2 linked regions of the Arabidopsis thaliana genome follow. The protein of the gene in region 2 interacts with the protein of the main gene of each other region in a biochemical or structural test. Each region holds a gene or a part of one and is shown on either strand. Other genes may lie near its edges.

Region 1 (6,899 bases), on a different chromosome or scaffold from region 2:
TTTGAAGGAGTTCATTACAAGTTCATTGGTGCTTCTGATGTGCAACTTTCCCATGAAAAAGAAGGCAGAGAATAAAGTGGAGATACAAAAGCAACTTAAAGGATGACTTAAAGGAGAGACTAGTCATTAACAAAGGAATGGATAAATTAATAAGTAGTTGGAAAAAAAGCTAACACCAAGTTGGTCCACAAAGACGATCCACCGTTATCAGATTTCCCACATAGATTTAACATCAAATTAGATTTGCATTTATGTTCCCCAATATTTCAATCAATTTTTACTTTGTCTGCTTTCCATAGCCATTCTTCATACATATACCACCTCATGATTCCTTCATCTTTCTCCGTCGTCTGGCACATCACGCACGTCTTGTACTCCATACAAGTCACAAATGAAAGTTAACAAGAGTTCACTTTCATCAATGTGCACGCCGGAAAGAATGTCAAATTTTTTTAGTTTATTATATCGAAAATGAAAGGGAACTTTTGTTTGATTACGCAATCAATTTTTTAGTTTTATGACATTTTTGGGCCAAATCTTACTTTCTTAACACAAAGCACAAGGGAAAAAGAGTTACAAATGTTACATTAGCTTATTATGACGTTTCCCAGTGACTTCTATTCAGCTTTTCGGCTTTTTATTTACTTGCGTATACAAGTACAAAGATCGTTACAGTAAAAAACAAAACAAAACAGATCAATGTTTTTGTTCAGAGATGTACGATTAGAGAGACTTTAACCGGGACAAACCATAGATAAAACCAAACCGGACTCTCTAACCAGGATGAGATTGGAAAGAATTGGAACTAGCACTTGAGCCACGGCCAGTGCTGAGTTTAAGAGCCTCCAAAGCCTTTTGAATCTCCATGTTCATTGCACTGTCAACACTTCCCGAAGACAGTTTCCTGTGAGATTTCTGGAGATGAAGCTTCAAAGAACTGCTGCTTAGACCTGCGTTCTTTCCACAAACCGGACACACTTTCATTGTCGGTTTCCTCTGTCTCCACTCCATTGATACTTTCCCGTGACATTTCTTGTCGAGGTTTATTAAGATCCGCGCAAATCCATCATTCGGTTGAGCTCGTCTATGAACTTTCCTCAGTTTGCTCCATGCTTCTAAAAGTGTGAGCTTCCTATTTATTGTTCCCACCAGTAAACAAATGAGAACAAGTATTGAAAATTTCCAACAAATTTTATTTGTCCCCAACAACTTACTTTTGGAGCATTAGGTAAGCAAGCACTACTGTTGCGCTTCTACTCCGACCTTCGAAGCAATGAACTAAAATCTTGCCACCAGTTTCTTCGCCATGCTTGATGAAATCGAGAGCTTCTTGAAAGATGCTCTCGATATTTGAGTCTTCATCATCGGTTATCTGGTCAAAGGGAAGACACAAGAAGAAAACGATCATCTTTATAGATGCATTTTTTTTTACCAATTCCTTTTAAGAGACATATAAGACAGGTTCACTTACTGAGAAGTTTTGGTACTCGAAGAGATCCGGGTATTGAGTATCCGATTGCCCGATTTCATTAGCGCACAAACATAGAACATGAGTTATACCTAAATGCTGAAGAGTGTAAATCGACCTTGCAGCCAATCCTCCCCCGATAAAAAGATTTTCTTGTATCATTGATGGTTTCTCTGTATTAGCAGCTTTGCTAATCAATGATATCCTCTCAAGAATATGCTCAAGTCTAACCTGTTATCAAGGAGAATGCAAACAAGAGAGACAATGTTTGAGTTCAGTTGCCAAAAACTATATTATATAATGAAGATCATATTCAGGATAAAAGGAAATAATAAAACTTCATGATACCTTTAGCTCATAAGCATCTGTGCAACTGTTATTATCACTGCCCTCAAAAAAACCAGTGTTGAAACCGTTCTCTTGGCAAAGTTTCATCACTTCATTCCGCAGTGTTTCATTCCACTGGTCTAGTTCTTTATTAGACTCAGCATCAACCTGGACGCACCATGAAAATATTGAGAGTGAAGAAAGAGAAAATGGCTGAGAACTTCCATCCAAGAAGACAAACTTTTTTTTTTATAAAAAATCTGAACCTACTTTACAAATTAGAACATAGTGATCAAAGCTCGAAGCGACAAACCTTTGCAAACTTATGGAAGTCACGGAGCTTTGCTGCCAAACGCTGACTGCTAAGAGATTCTCCACCTTTACCGGATCTTCCGTGCCAACTTTCACGTGACTTAGGCGAAGACCCGTCTTCTTTGTTTTCTGAATTTGGTGTCCTAGGAACTGATTTTTGCATATCTGACTCACTGTGATCAGAGCTGTTATCACTAGGCACCCGATCTTTTGAGGGAGATGGATAATGATTCACCTCATGCCCATGAGTATGTGAAGGTGACTCAGGAACAGCAAAGTCTTCTCTGTCAAAATCTGCACACATTGTTTTGTCCATCATACTAAAAAATGCCCGAAGCAACACATCTAATTTCTGATGAAGGGTGACAAGGAAGATGTGAAACTCTTGCAAATCCCTGAGACCAGCTCGGAAACCATTTCGAAACTCGCGTACAACTGGTGTTACTACAGATCGAACATTAGATGTTTCTTCACCATCTTCTGCCTGTGGATATCCTAAACTTCCTTCTGTTATTTCATGTAACAAATTCGAAGAATATTGGCTACTATTGAGGAGTAACTCAACTAATCTTGGATAAATTTCTTGGTCGCTTGCCCGTTTTCCAGCAGGAGGCCGCCGTGGAACACCCGAGTCTATGGCAACGAGGTGAAAATCGGCAGCTACTGATCTATCAGACATTGGACTCATTAAACCAGTATCATATGATCTAGGTGATTCCGTTATATCAGAAAAATCAGAAGCCTGTGAGACCAACATTTGATCACTGATACTCAACCTGGATCTGCTATCTACGGAAGAAGCTCTTCTTTCCCTTTGAATGGATCTATAGTCCTTTGGATGGTACCGTTTGATGGCGGAATCAAAAGCTTCATCAAATGAACATTCATGATGCTTTGCAGAAGACACAATTCTGTCTGTCAGTAACAGATTTGCCGGGTTGCCACGCCATCTCAGCTGACGACACGGTAATCTGTCTTCATTCCTAATTACTAGATCTAACACCAAGATTCTCCCTAGAGCTGCAGCAGCTCTCTCTGCTTTTTCTTCAGTTTCAAAACTACTCATGCTCTCCAGCATTGGACATCCATGAACATAACTGTAATCACATATAGAGAATCCTGGGCTAAGAAGAGGGGTTCTATACAAACATCACATTAAAAATTGTAAATTTGAAAGTGCCTACATGATCCTATTAGGTAAGACTAGATTTTACATAATCCTATTAGGTAAGACTAGATTTCTGTTCAGCTATTTCTCTCATATTTATTATCATTTAAAGCAAGATTAGATTTCTGTTTAACTGTTGTTATCAAATTTTATCCAATAAAATAATTCCACCTCATATTTGTAATTTAGATCTTTCTTATTTTATAATACAATTTTTATATCTAATAACATAACATCTTTTATTTTTCTTAAAATATATTATCAAATGGTATATTCATATTTCAAATGGTTTACTATCATCTAGTTAAACACTAATGCAAAGGAACAAAAAAACTGTCAACATTATGCTGCTGGTCCAAGTAAAAAATGGAGAAAAGTGATAAAGAATAAAGATGAATCTTGTGCTTTCACCTCATTAAGAGAAGACAACGGCTGAGCTCAAGGGCTTCCAGAAGTTCTGAACATGTCATTTCACCAACCTCGTCCCCCTCCGAAGTCGCTTTAGCTTGTGCTTTTTCAGTGGCTTCTTTGATCAGTGTCCACTCAGGATTACAGCTGTGAATTACTCTAGCCTGTCGCATGATGATTACTCATTACTTGAAAATTCTAGAAAGAAAGTGAAATGAGCAAAACCATTACTACATTTTTAAAAAACTACAAGAAAGAAAAGAAGCACCTGCGGAATCTGCACCCCTAGCCACTTGGAAAACTCATAACCTAGACGTTCTGATTGCGTGGCCATCCTCGATGATGCAAATTTAATAACTGCTGCTTCTTCCTTACGAGAGGCATCTTCAGAGCTGGAACTATTGAACAGGGCAAAGAAAACAACTCCTCCAGAATTCACAGTAACCTGTACAGACATCTAATAGTGTCAAAAGATCCTCCTAGCATCACCAGTCCAAGATCATAATGATATATATACCTCAAGTGGTTTACTCTGGTCTTCTTCAGAATGATCAGTGCTACTACTATGTTCAGTATGATGAAGTGAAGACAACATATTCCATGAAAAACAGCTCGAATCAATATCCACAGTAGAAGCTTTACCAAGCCTTTCCCACAAACTAATCTCTGAACTCTGCCTACTTGGTGGACTTTTAGGATCAGTATTCCTCTCTCCTGCACTGGATAATACTTGTATCAACTGACATGAAGACTAATATCCTAATTTAGAAACCTTTGTTCTGATATACTCATAAGATTCCAAAATCATAATCAACAAACCAAGTACTTGACAAAAAGTCAGAGAAAGTGTTAACCTAGTGACCATATCATCGATGCGGTGAAGGCGGTGAGGGAAGCCAGAGGATCCGTAAGTAGCACTTCGTTTACGAACTAAATCCAACCATTGAGTAAACCTATAAGCTGGACCAGATGCTATATCTCCTAACATGTACAAAACCTGCAAATTCCAAAAGTCTTCCAATTTTTAAGACGAGACTATTAATATAACCCTAAAACCTAAAACGAATTTAGGATCGGAGAAATTTACACGAGAAGTGACGGTGAGAGGAAGAGGAGACTCGTGCTCGTCGTGAACAAGGTATAGATCTTTCTCTTCGTCTTTTTCCTGCGATAGCACCATAATATCAGATCAGAGAAAAAGGGGAAAAAATCAAAATCAAAATCTGGCTCTGCGAAAAGAGGGAGAGATAAATGTGGGGGTAATGATGAACGCAAAAGGTGGGGGTGATAATGATAGATTATTAAATTTGTGGGGGAAAAATGAAGGATGATTACTTGAGAAAATGGTTGATCTCGCTTCTTCTCAGGTTCCGCCATTGCAAAAGCTTAGGTTCTGTTTAATTTTAGAAATGTCTTTTTCTTCAAATGTCAGCTTTGTATCTGAGAAGAGGAAAGTCTCAAGGTATCTTTAATTAATATGAACTTGTCGGACGAAGAAAGAAGACGGATATTTAATTTCATAAATTTATTATTGTAATAAAGACTCTGATCATTTTATTCTCATTATTCAAGATTTAAAAAAATAAACATATTATTATTTACAGAACTGTCTTCTAATTTTATTTTATTTCCGTTTTGTGTTATTATTTAAAACTATATTTTGTATGAAACTATTTCGGTCGAAATCAACAACATTTATACAAAAATGGTTTTAGATTTTAAAAAATATTCACTAAAGTTTATGGTTTAATCTGAAAAAGTTCAGTCTAATAAAATAAAATATTTATAGAATTTTTTTGTCAACTTATTTCTGAAAATTAATAAGCATAAATATTAGTAAAAAATCAAAAATATATACTTTCTTTGTTTTACAATATAAATTGTTTTGGACCAAATTTTTTGTTTTACAATATAAATTATTTTCAAAATTTTATGCAAATTATATATTATTTTAATACTTTATAATTATTTCTATTTTTAAAAAATAAATTGAATTTTTTAAAAATAAATATTTTTAATCTACATGTTTTTATCTAAACCAACTTGTATAGCGAAATCTCATATTGAATTAACAAAAATCCTGAACAATATGTACCAATCCACTTCGAGTTACCTTTTGTTGTGTATTAGTTTAGGCCCACACTAATATATTTGACTTTCTTCTCTGTCTTATATATTTAGCTAAAAGCAGACCTAGGGTTTTCGTATCCGTTCCAGTCACGGACGACTTCTCCGTTCTCTGAACTCTCCTAAAGCCTCTATATTCATCGGATTGTTCATCTCCAGTAAACCAATCTCCAGGTAAATTGAATCTGAATCTTCACCAAAATCCTTTGTAATCTCAGAATCATCGATTTTATCACCTTCTTATAGTATAGATCAATCCTTTTCGTAAATCACACGAATTCTCTCAATTACCGTGTCACAATTCCGATTGATTTTTGCAGTTTGGTGAATTTGTAAGAATGAGTAAACGAAAACGTCCGGATCCGAAATCATCGGGAGGTGATCTAAACGAGCCACACGAGAAGAAGCTTCTGGATCTGATTCGAATAAACCAAGGAAGAGGCGCAACTATGTTCGAATTGAAACGCGAGAAAACGATCCCAGCAACTATAGTTACTCGATTGATCGCTTCTCTACGGAAGAAGAATCTCATCAAAGAAGTAGCAAACATGAACAACAAAGGTGTCAAACATTATCTTGCAATGGAGTTTGAGCCTTGTAGTGAACTTACTGGTGGTGAATGGTACACTGATGGAGCTCTTGACCTGTCGAAAATCGAAGATTTGAAAGCCAAGTGTGTGATGATTTTGGAGAGGCATAGGCAGAGGGTTGTTACTTTGGAGGTTTTGTGTGGGTATTTTGTTAAAGAGGAGAAGCTGAGTGTTGATCAGACTAAGGAGATACTTAAGAACTTGATTTTGGATAATTTGATCATGGAGGTGAAGAGTAATGGAATGAATGAGTTTGCTTCTACGAGAATCGGAGAAGTTTGCTACAGGTTGACCGGGAAAAAGTTCGGTAATGGCGAACCGAGAGCTGGAGCTTTTGCTTCGATTCCTTGCGGGGTTTGTCCGCATATAGCGATCTGTTCACCTGATGGTGTTATCTCTCCCACTACATGTGTTTATTTTCAGAAATGGTTAGACTTTTAGCACTCTCTTTTTTTTTTTTTTTTTGGGTTTAAAACTTAAGATTTTAGATTATGATGAT
Region 2 (6,312 bases):
CAACATAAATGTGAGTCTATTTATTAGCTCTCTACTAAATTAGGACATTTCAGATCAATTAAAATAGAATGAAATTTTGATAATTAATTAAGTATGTGTATAAAGAAAGAAATAAATATATTGCATCGTTTTCCAAATTATAGTGATTGACGAATAAAATATGATTTTCCTTATTTTAGAAGGTTAATCGTGGTATTTAATTAAAACACCTGGTTTATTTATGATATAACGTAGACATGTCAGTTCAAATATTTAATTAGTTGATTACAAAGATAAGTACATGTCAACCTAAAATTTAATATCATCATTTCAACCCAAAAAAAACCTGAGATTATATATAACGGATCATTCAATGCAAGATGCTTAATGCCACCGTCACGTAACGAAATAATTGATTTGCTTCCTTTTTGGTTAATAAATATTAAATAGATCAAATGTGTACACTTTCTCATGACTTGTTAAATTGAGAAAGTGATATTCGTTATGATTAATGGACGCCTAATATTACCTTTAATGGGCTAAACTCAGGCCTACAAACTTGGCGGGTAAATTATAAACATTTCAACGGCGTCAAAATTTCGAAGTTAAGGCGAATTTCATTGTTAACCATGATGAGTCTTGAGGTCAAGAGCATTCCTTTTTTTCATTGGCAAGTTTTTTTTTTTCTTTTTGTAACCATTGAATAAAATTGACTAATTATATAATCTGAGAAAGAGTGGTTTACAGAAGAAAAATCTAAGGACCAATGTTTTATTTTGTTACTTCCACATTCTTCGGCATAATGTTGTCTATATTAACCAATCAAGACCATATTTTCCAATAACCAAAGAGATTCCTTTTTTTGTTGAAGAACAATAAAGACTAATGGGACCGATTAAGAAGTTTAAGAAGTATATAATCACCACGATATTCTTCTCTACGGTGAACTACGCTTATGGCAAATTCAAAGATTATGGAGCCAACAAGATAACCGAAACAATAACCGGGACTGACCCGCAATCAGACTAATCCAAGGCGATCTTGTTCTGGAGAGTTACAACTAAATAAAAGTCTTTCTTATATCATTGCAACGTAGTTCATATCAGAGCCTGGACTGAATAATACTTACATAAAAACTAGAGAATCACCTGGTGGAGGAAGATGTGGTGGTTAAAGATCTGTCTGAAGTGTTGTCTATGATGCTGCGCTGTAACTAATTGTGCCTATGTTCCGGTGTGCTGCTACTGCAACCGCTGCAGCTCCTGCTGGACCAAACTGTGATTGTGCCTGCAACAGCTTAGCATCAATGGCCATATGTGTGTTGTTGTTTAATTGATCTGTCTTCGGGAGCTGTGGTTGAAAGTAAGGGTTTGGGTGGTTCATAGTCTCAACGTCTGCTTGGTTAGTTGTAGCAGCTGGTGGCTCAGTGGGACTGAATTGGTGGACAGGATTTTGTGGCTTTGGTGGAAAAGACGAAGCTTCTATGTTGCGGTTCTCCGGGTTTGTCATGGTGTTTGGTCGGAAGTAGCAATGAGGAGATGAAACCGCGCTTCTGAAATAAGCTTCTTTGAGGTTCCTGCCATTCTCATAAGATACAGATGATTCCACAACACGACCTGGTCTACCTGTAAAACATAGGGTGAAAGTTAGTTGAAGTTTCTAACTTTAGGAAATAATATTTGGAGATATGATTGAGACCTGATGGTGGAACTCTTGGTGGAGGTCCGATGGATTTAGTAGGATACGCGGAAGTTGATGGATGTCCTGCAGAAGAAGCTCCATTTTTTGAAGGCTCGAAAGAAACACGTCTACTATCTGTTGCACCCAAGTTGGGTTGCGAGGTGGAATGGACTACAGTTGAGTGAACCGTAGACCTGTGGAAAACAATCATATCTATTAGAATTAGAAGAGTAGAGAACATATGAAAGTTTTTAGAATTAGAAGAGTAGAGAACATATGAAAGTTTGCTTGAGGCCTTCGACCATATGCTTCACAAATGCTAAGCAGTAGCAGAAGAAAGAACAAAAGAATAAGCATATTCCCTACAGTCGACTTGTATATAAAGAATGAGAAAACATACCGCGGTAGTGATGCGTGTTTCCTCTCGAGAGGTATGACCGGCCCATTTCTACTGCTATTTTCCTCTAAGTAAGTGAACTGCTGTCTAAGATGTCCAATGGCGCTGCAAGTGAAAAAGTAAAAACATGAATAAAAAGCCAGGCAGAGGTACGCGATTGGACATAAATTCAACGGGAGAAAGAAACAAGAAATGTTTCATTTGGTAAATAATAATAAAAGGTAGGAAGAAATTCAAACCTAGGATATACAAAATTAGACCCCTCAGATCCGCTCATATAGTCCTTGAGCAACTGAGGATGGTACTCCAGTATTTCTCTGTATATTAGTTCTCTAATGTCGTCCTTTGTCAACCTTCGCCTCTCAAATTCAAACTCCATTTTCGAGATTTGCTGACTTGAAGGTTCTCTTTCAATCTTAGAAAGACCCTTGAAGTAAGGATCAGCTAATGCCTATCGAAAAACAAAAAGATAGCAAAGTAAGCAGAGAGATACACACAAGACGCAAGGCAGCTTTACAAAGAGGACCGAAGAAGAATCTAATTACAAAGTGAAAAAGACAGAAAAGAGACCTCTGCAGGAGTCGGTCGATCCTTTGGATCGAAAGCCAACAGCCTCTGCAAAAGACGGAGTGCTAATGGATCTGCTTTGGAAAATTTTTGCGAGAAGGTGACAGGATTTTTCTTCCTCATTTCAGTCAAGTATTTTCTAGCTTTATCATTACGAACCTGCATCAGAGAAATAAATGTTTAGCTATACAGTTCAATATATATACGTACTCCAGAAATTAATGTGAAGAAGAAAAACGGATCATACTCCAGAAATTGTTTCTGATTTTGGTGTGCCAAGAAGATCAGTAATCAACTCCAACTGATGGACAACACTTTTTCCCGGAAACAATGGCTTCCCTGTTAGTACCTCTGCAAAGATGCAGCCAATGCTCCAAACGTCGATAGCTGGAGTGTACTGCAGAATAATTTTGACTGTAAATCAGATTATGATGAAAAAACAAAATCCATGAATATGAAGTTGCAGATGCAAAAGAAACCACTCAATGAACATAACCTGATACAAGGTTACCTGATTCATAGATTTTCAACTTCGGGGAGAGTTCAAGTCATCCCTGAACAAGAATTATTTTAATATCCCACTGGGGCACAACTCTATACTTATACAAGTAACATCAAATATCAGCTATTAACACTAATCTGCATATATTCTACACTAAAGAAGACTAATCTGTTCATAAGACCTAAGCATAGCCAATTAGAATGCATAGAAGAAATCCACAGTAACACCTACCTTCGAAAAGAATGATCCACAGAGCTCAGGTGCTCTATACCATCTTGTGGCAACATAGTCCTGCATTGCGATTAAATGAGTCAGAGAGAAAAATCAAACACACAAATTAACGGCTAACAAACAAAAGGTCTCCTCCTCGAGGCTACTAACCGTCCAAAAGACTGTCGTAGGAGTATCATTAAACGCTACTCTAGCCAATCCAAAGTCACAAACTTTCAACTTGCAATTTGCGTTTGCAAGTATATTCTTTGGCTTAAGATCACGGTGATAAACATTAGCTGCATGAACAAAAGGATAACAGTAAGTTACAACCAGAAAAAATACAAAACATGCTGCCAAGATTCACAGGTCTGAAACAATGAAACGAATCACACCTGTATGCATGAACTTTAAAGCACGAAGCATCTGATAAAGGAAAAACTGGTGGTGTTCACGAGTCAAATCATCATTAGCTTTAATAACTTGATGAAGATCTGATTCCATGAGCTCAAACACAACATAGATATCTTTAAACTCTCTCTTAGAAGGAGGCAGCATAATGCTTTTGATCTCCACAATATCAGGATGCCGTAAAAGCCGAAGAAGCTTCACTTCACGGAGAATACGAAGCGCATCAGAAATATGTTCAAAGACATCATTAATCTTCTTAATAGCAACTTTCTCTCCAGTATGTGTATCAATAGCTGCACACACAACTCCATAGCTTCCTTTACCAATAACTTCCAGAATCCTATATCTGTTTGCATCACCATACTCTGTGAAAAACTCCATCTCTTTCGTGCCCTAGTGAATCACAAAAGTAGACAAAACACAAACTTTATCCACACATCTTATTTATGCTCATGCAACAAAACCAAACCTAATTGCAATTGAAAAAGGAAAGATTTTATTTTTTTTGTCTTTAAATTTGTAAAAGGATAAGACTTTATCCTCTGTTTCCCACATTTAGAATCAAAGCATGATTGAGAGAGATAGAGAGCAAGAAGCGAACCTTCTTCACTTGATTTTGTTGCATCTTCTTCTTCAAAATTATCAAAAATCTGGATCGGCTTTTCGAAAAGTAAAAAAAAAAAAAAAACCTAGATTGCTAAGAATCCGAAAACTAGAAGAACTCAAAATCAAGCCCAGTCTGTGAAGAAGACGATACAGAGAAGAGCAAAACCTAGATCCAGCGATCGAAGAAGAAGAAGACGAGAGAGGATTTTAAAAATACCGAATTTGAGATATTTTTTCTAAATTTGAATAAAAATAATTTCTAATTCTAGCAATTTCTCGTGGTACTTATTGCGTACGGGTGTGACAAATCCCAGATAGTGGCAGTTTCGTAGTTTTAGACAACATTTGAGGGTAAAGTAAATATTGGTTTTCTCCCACTGTGGTCTGTGGACGACCTTTTTGGAAAATGACCCAATGGTTTAGACACCTGTTGCTGGACTTGGACCGTTTTATTTTTCTTAAATTCCGATTTTGACCCCTATCTTAATTTTGTTTTGATTCTAACCATTCTTTTTGATAAGTGGTCAATTTAACCCCCACGTGATAGTATTTCTCGTACCACTGAAAGGAATATTATTAACATTATCTCAATTTTGCTTATTATATTCCTTGATTTAAATTTTTAAGATTGAAAAATCTATATACAATTGACTAATTCATATGTAAATAAATATTGTTGAAGGATATTTGTCTTAGATTTTAATTTATTTTGGTAAAGACGATACACGATTAATATATTAGGATAAAATACCATCTTTGATGAACATTTATTCCATGTAAATCAACTAACCTTGAGAAAAAGACCTTCCAAGTGTCAAGTTGTTTGCTTGATACTATGGGATGATAAAAACAAAATCAAAAGAAAAAAAAAAACTGCCATCCTCATTGGTATATGACTTAGTATTTGATAGAAAATAAAATAAAATAAATAGATTAATAATTTTGCAATTCGTGTGAAACTAATATTCACATGTCAATTTACACAATTTGGCTTTTGTATTTATTGAAAAGACCAACATATTTAGTGTCTGGCTCATATTAAAAGTTTATCACAATAGGGGCAAATCCACAAAAAGGTGAAGATTATGATAATATTATAACTGATCTTGATTAAAACAAATCCAACATCTTATTATTCATTTGTATCTGAGGCATTCAAATCCAAAGTTGGTTCATTATCTAAAGTACAAAATATCATAATTTCAAATTATCATACTCCATATAATTTCACACTATACGACGATGTAGGTGGTGCATGTGTCAATTTATTGTCAATATTTTAAGGCGTTATAACTTATAACTAAAGTTGATCCTTTTTGCATATTTCATTGCTTTTCATTTTCTTCTACTTTCGGTTTTAAAATCATAATTTTACTCTCTTTTGACTAAGTGCGCATTTTAAAATAATTATCGGCCAAAGATAAATATAAATGATGGTTGACTGGTTCTATCTATTTAGACCAGGCTCTGCATAATATATATAACCAGCATATCTATTTTTAAAATAGTTTTAATGGTTTTTCAAAATGATATATATAATATTTTGAATTGCAAGTTTAATAATTCGAAGATATATATATATATATATATAATCATGAGTCAGAATTCAACAGAGTGGACACAATATTACCATTCATCACATGAATCATGCTTTTCGTGTATGTATGTTTTAGAGTTTTGACTGGAGGAGCCAAAATATCTCCACCAAGCAGATTTATTTTGTTTGTTTATTTATTTGAGTTACATCTTATTAAAATTCCATGAACCATATATAATGATAGAAGAAAAAAGGGATCACCCATAAATAATGATAATTTGTGCACAACTATATATTATTGTTTTCTTAACTTTTGGTTGCCAACAACTCTATATTATTAGTGCAAATATAATAATGTTGATGAATAAAAGACAATGCATCCTAATAATAAACCAAAATATAATGTGTAAATGTGGTCCAGTG

The links. Proteins that work in one complex are often made in the same cells at the same time.
Region 1: of the proteins of MPK18 (region 2) and PHS1, one has a biochemical effect on the other in vitro, tested with the Arabidopsis thaliana proteins (one study listed by BioGRID).

Annotation. Positions count from the first base shown.
Region 1 is NC_003076.8:7,996,470-8,003,368, reverse strand, and holds PHS1 (dual specificity protein phosphatase family protein), read right to left. Parts: upstream 5,173-6,899; 5' UTR 5,061-5,172; coding exon 5,019-5,060; exon of another isoform or gene 4,864-5,018; coding exon of another isoform or gene 4,849-4,863; coding exon 4,771-4,848; intron 4,681-4,770; coding exon 4,538-4,680; intron 4,403-4,537; coding exon 4,201-4,402; intron 4,129-4,200; coding exon 3,952-4,128; intron 3,848-3,951; coding exon 3,687-3,847; intron 3,205-3,686; coding exon 2,109-3,204; intron 1,964-2,108; coding exon 1,817-1,963; intron 1,700-1,816; coding exon 1,472-1,699; intron 1,373-1,471; coding exon 1,215-1,372; intron 1,133-1,214; coding exon 775-1,132; 3' UTR 521-774; downstream 1-520. Other genes in the region: AT5G23710 (DNA binding / DNA-directed RNA polymerase), read left to right, coding at 6,149-6,841. UniProt on the Arabidopsis thaliana protein: Probable dual specificity phosphatase that binds and dephosphorylates MPK18, modulating the organization and dynamics of cortical microtubules.
Region 2 is NC_003070.9:19,969,788-19,976,099, forward strand, and holds MPK18 (mitogen-activated protein kinase 18), read right to left. Parts: upstream 4,607-6,312; 5' UTR 4,372-4,606; coding exon 4,348-4,371; intron 4,140-4,347; coding exon 3,731-4,139; intron 3,635-3,730; coding exon 3,507-3,634; intron 3,417-3,506; coding exon 3,357-3,416; intron 3,021-3,356; coding exon 2,871-3,020; intron 2,783-2,870; coding exon 2,627-2,782; intron 2,508-2,626; coding exon 2,296-2,507; intron 2,162-2,295; coding exon 2,060-2,161; intron 1,854-2,059; coding exon 1,678-1,853; intron 1,605-1,677; coding exon 1,174-1,604; 3' UTR 547-1,173; downstream 1-546. UniProt on the Arabidopsis thaliana protein: Mitogen-activated protein kinase (MAPK) that is specifically regulated by PHS1 and MAPKKK20 and mediates signaling that regulates cortical microtubule functions, maybe through regulation of microtubule dynamic instability.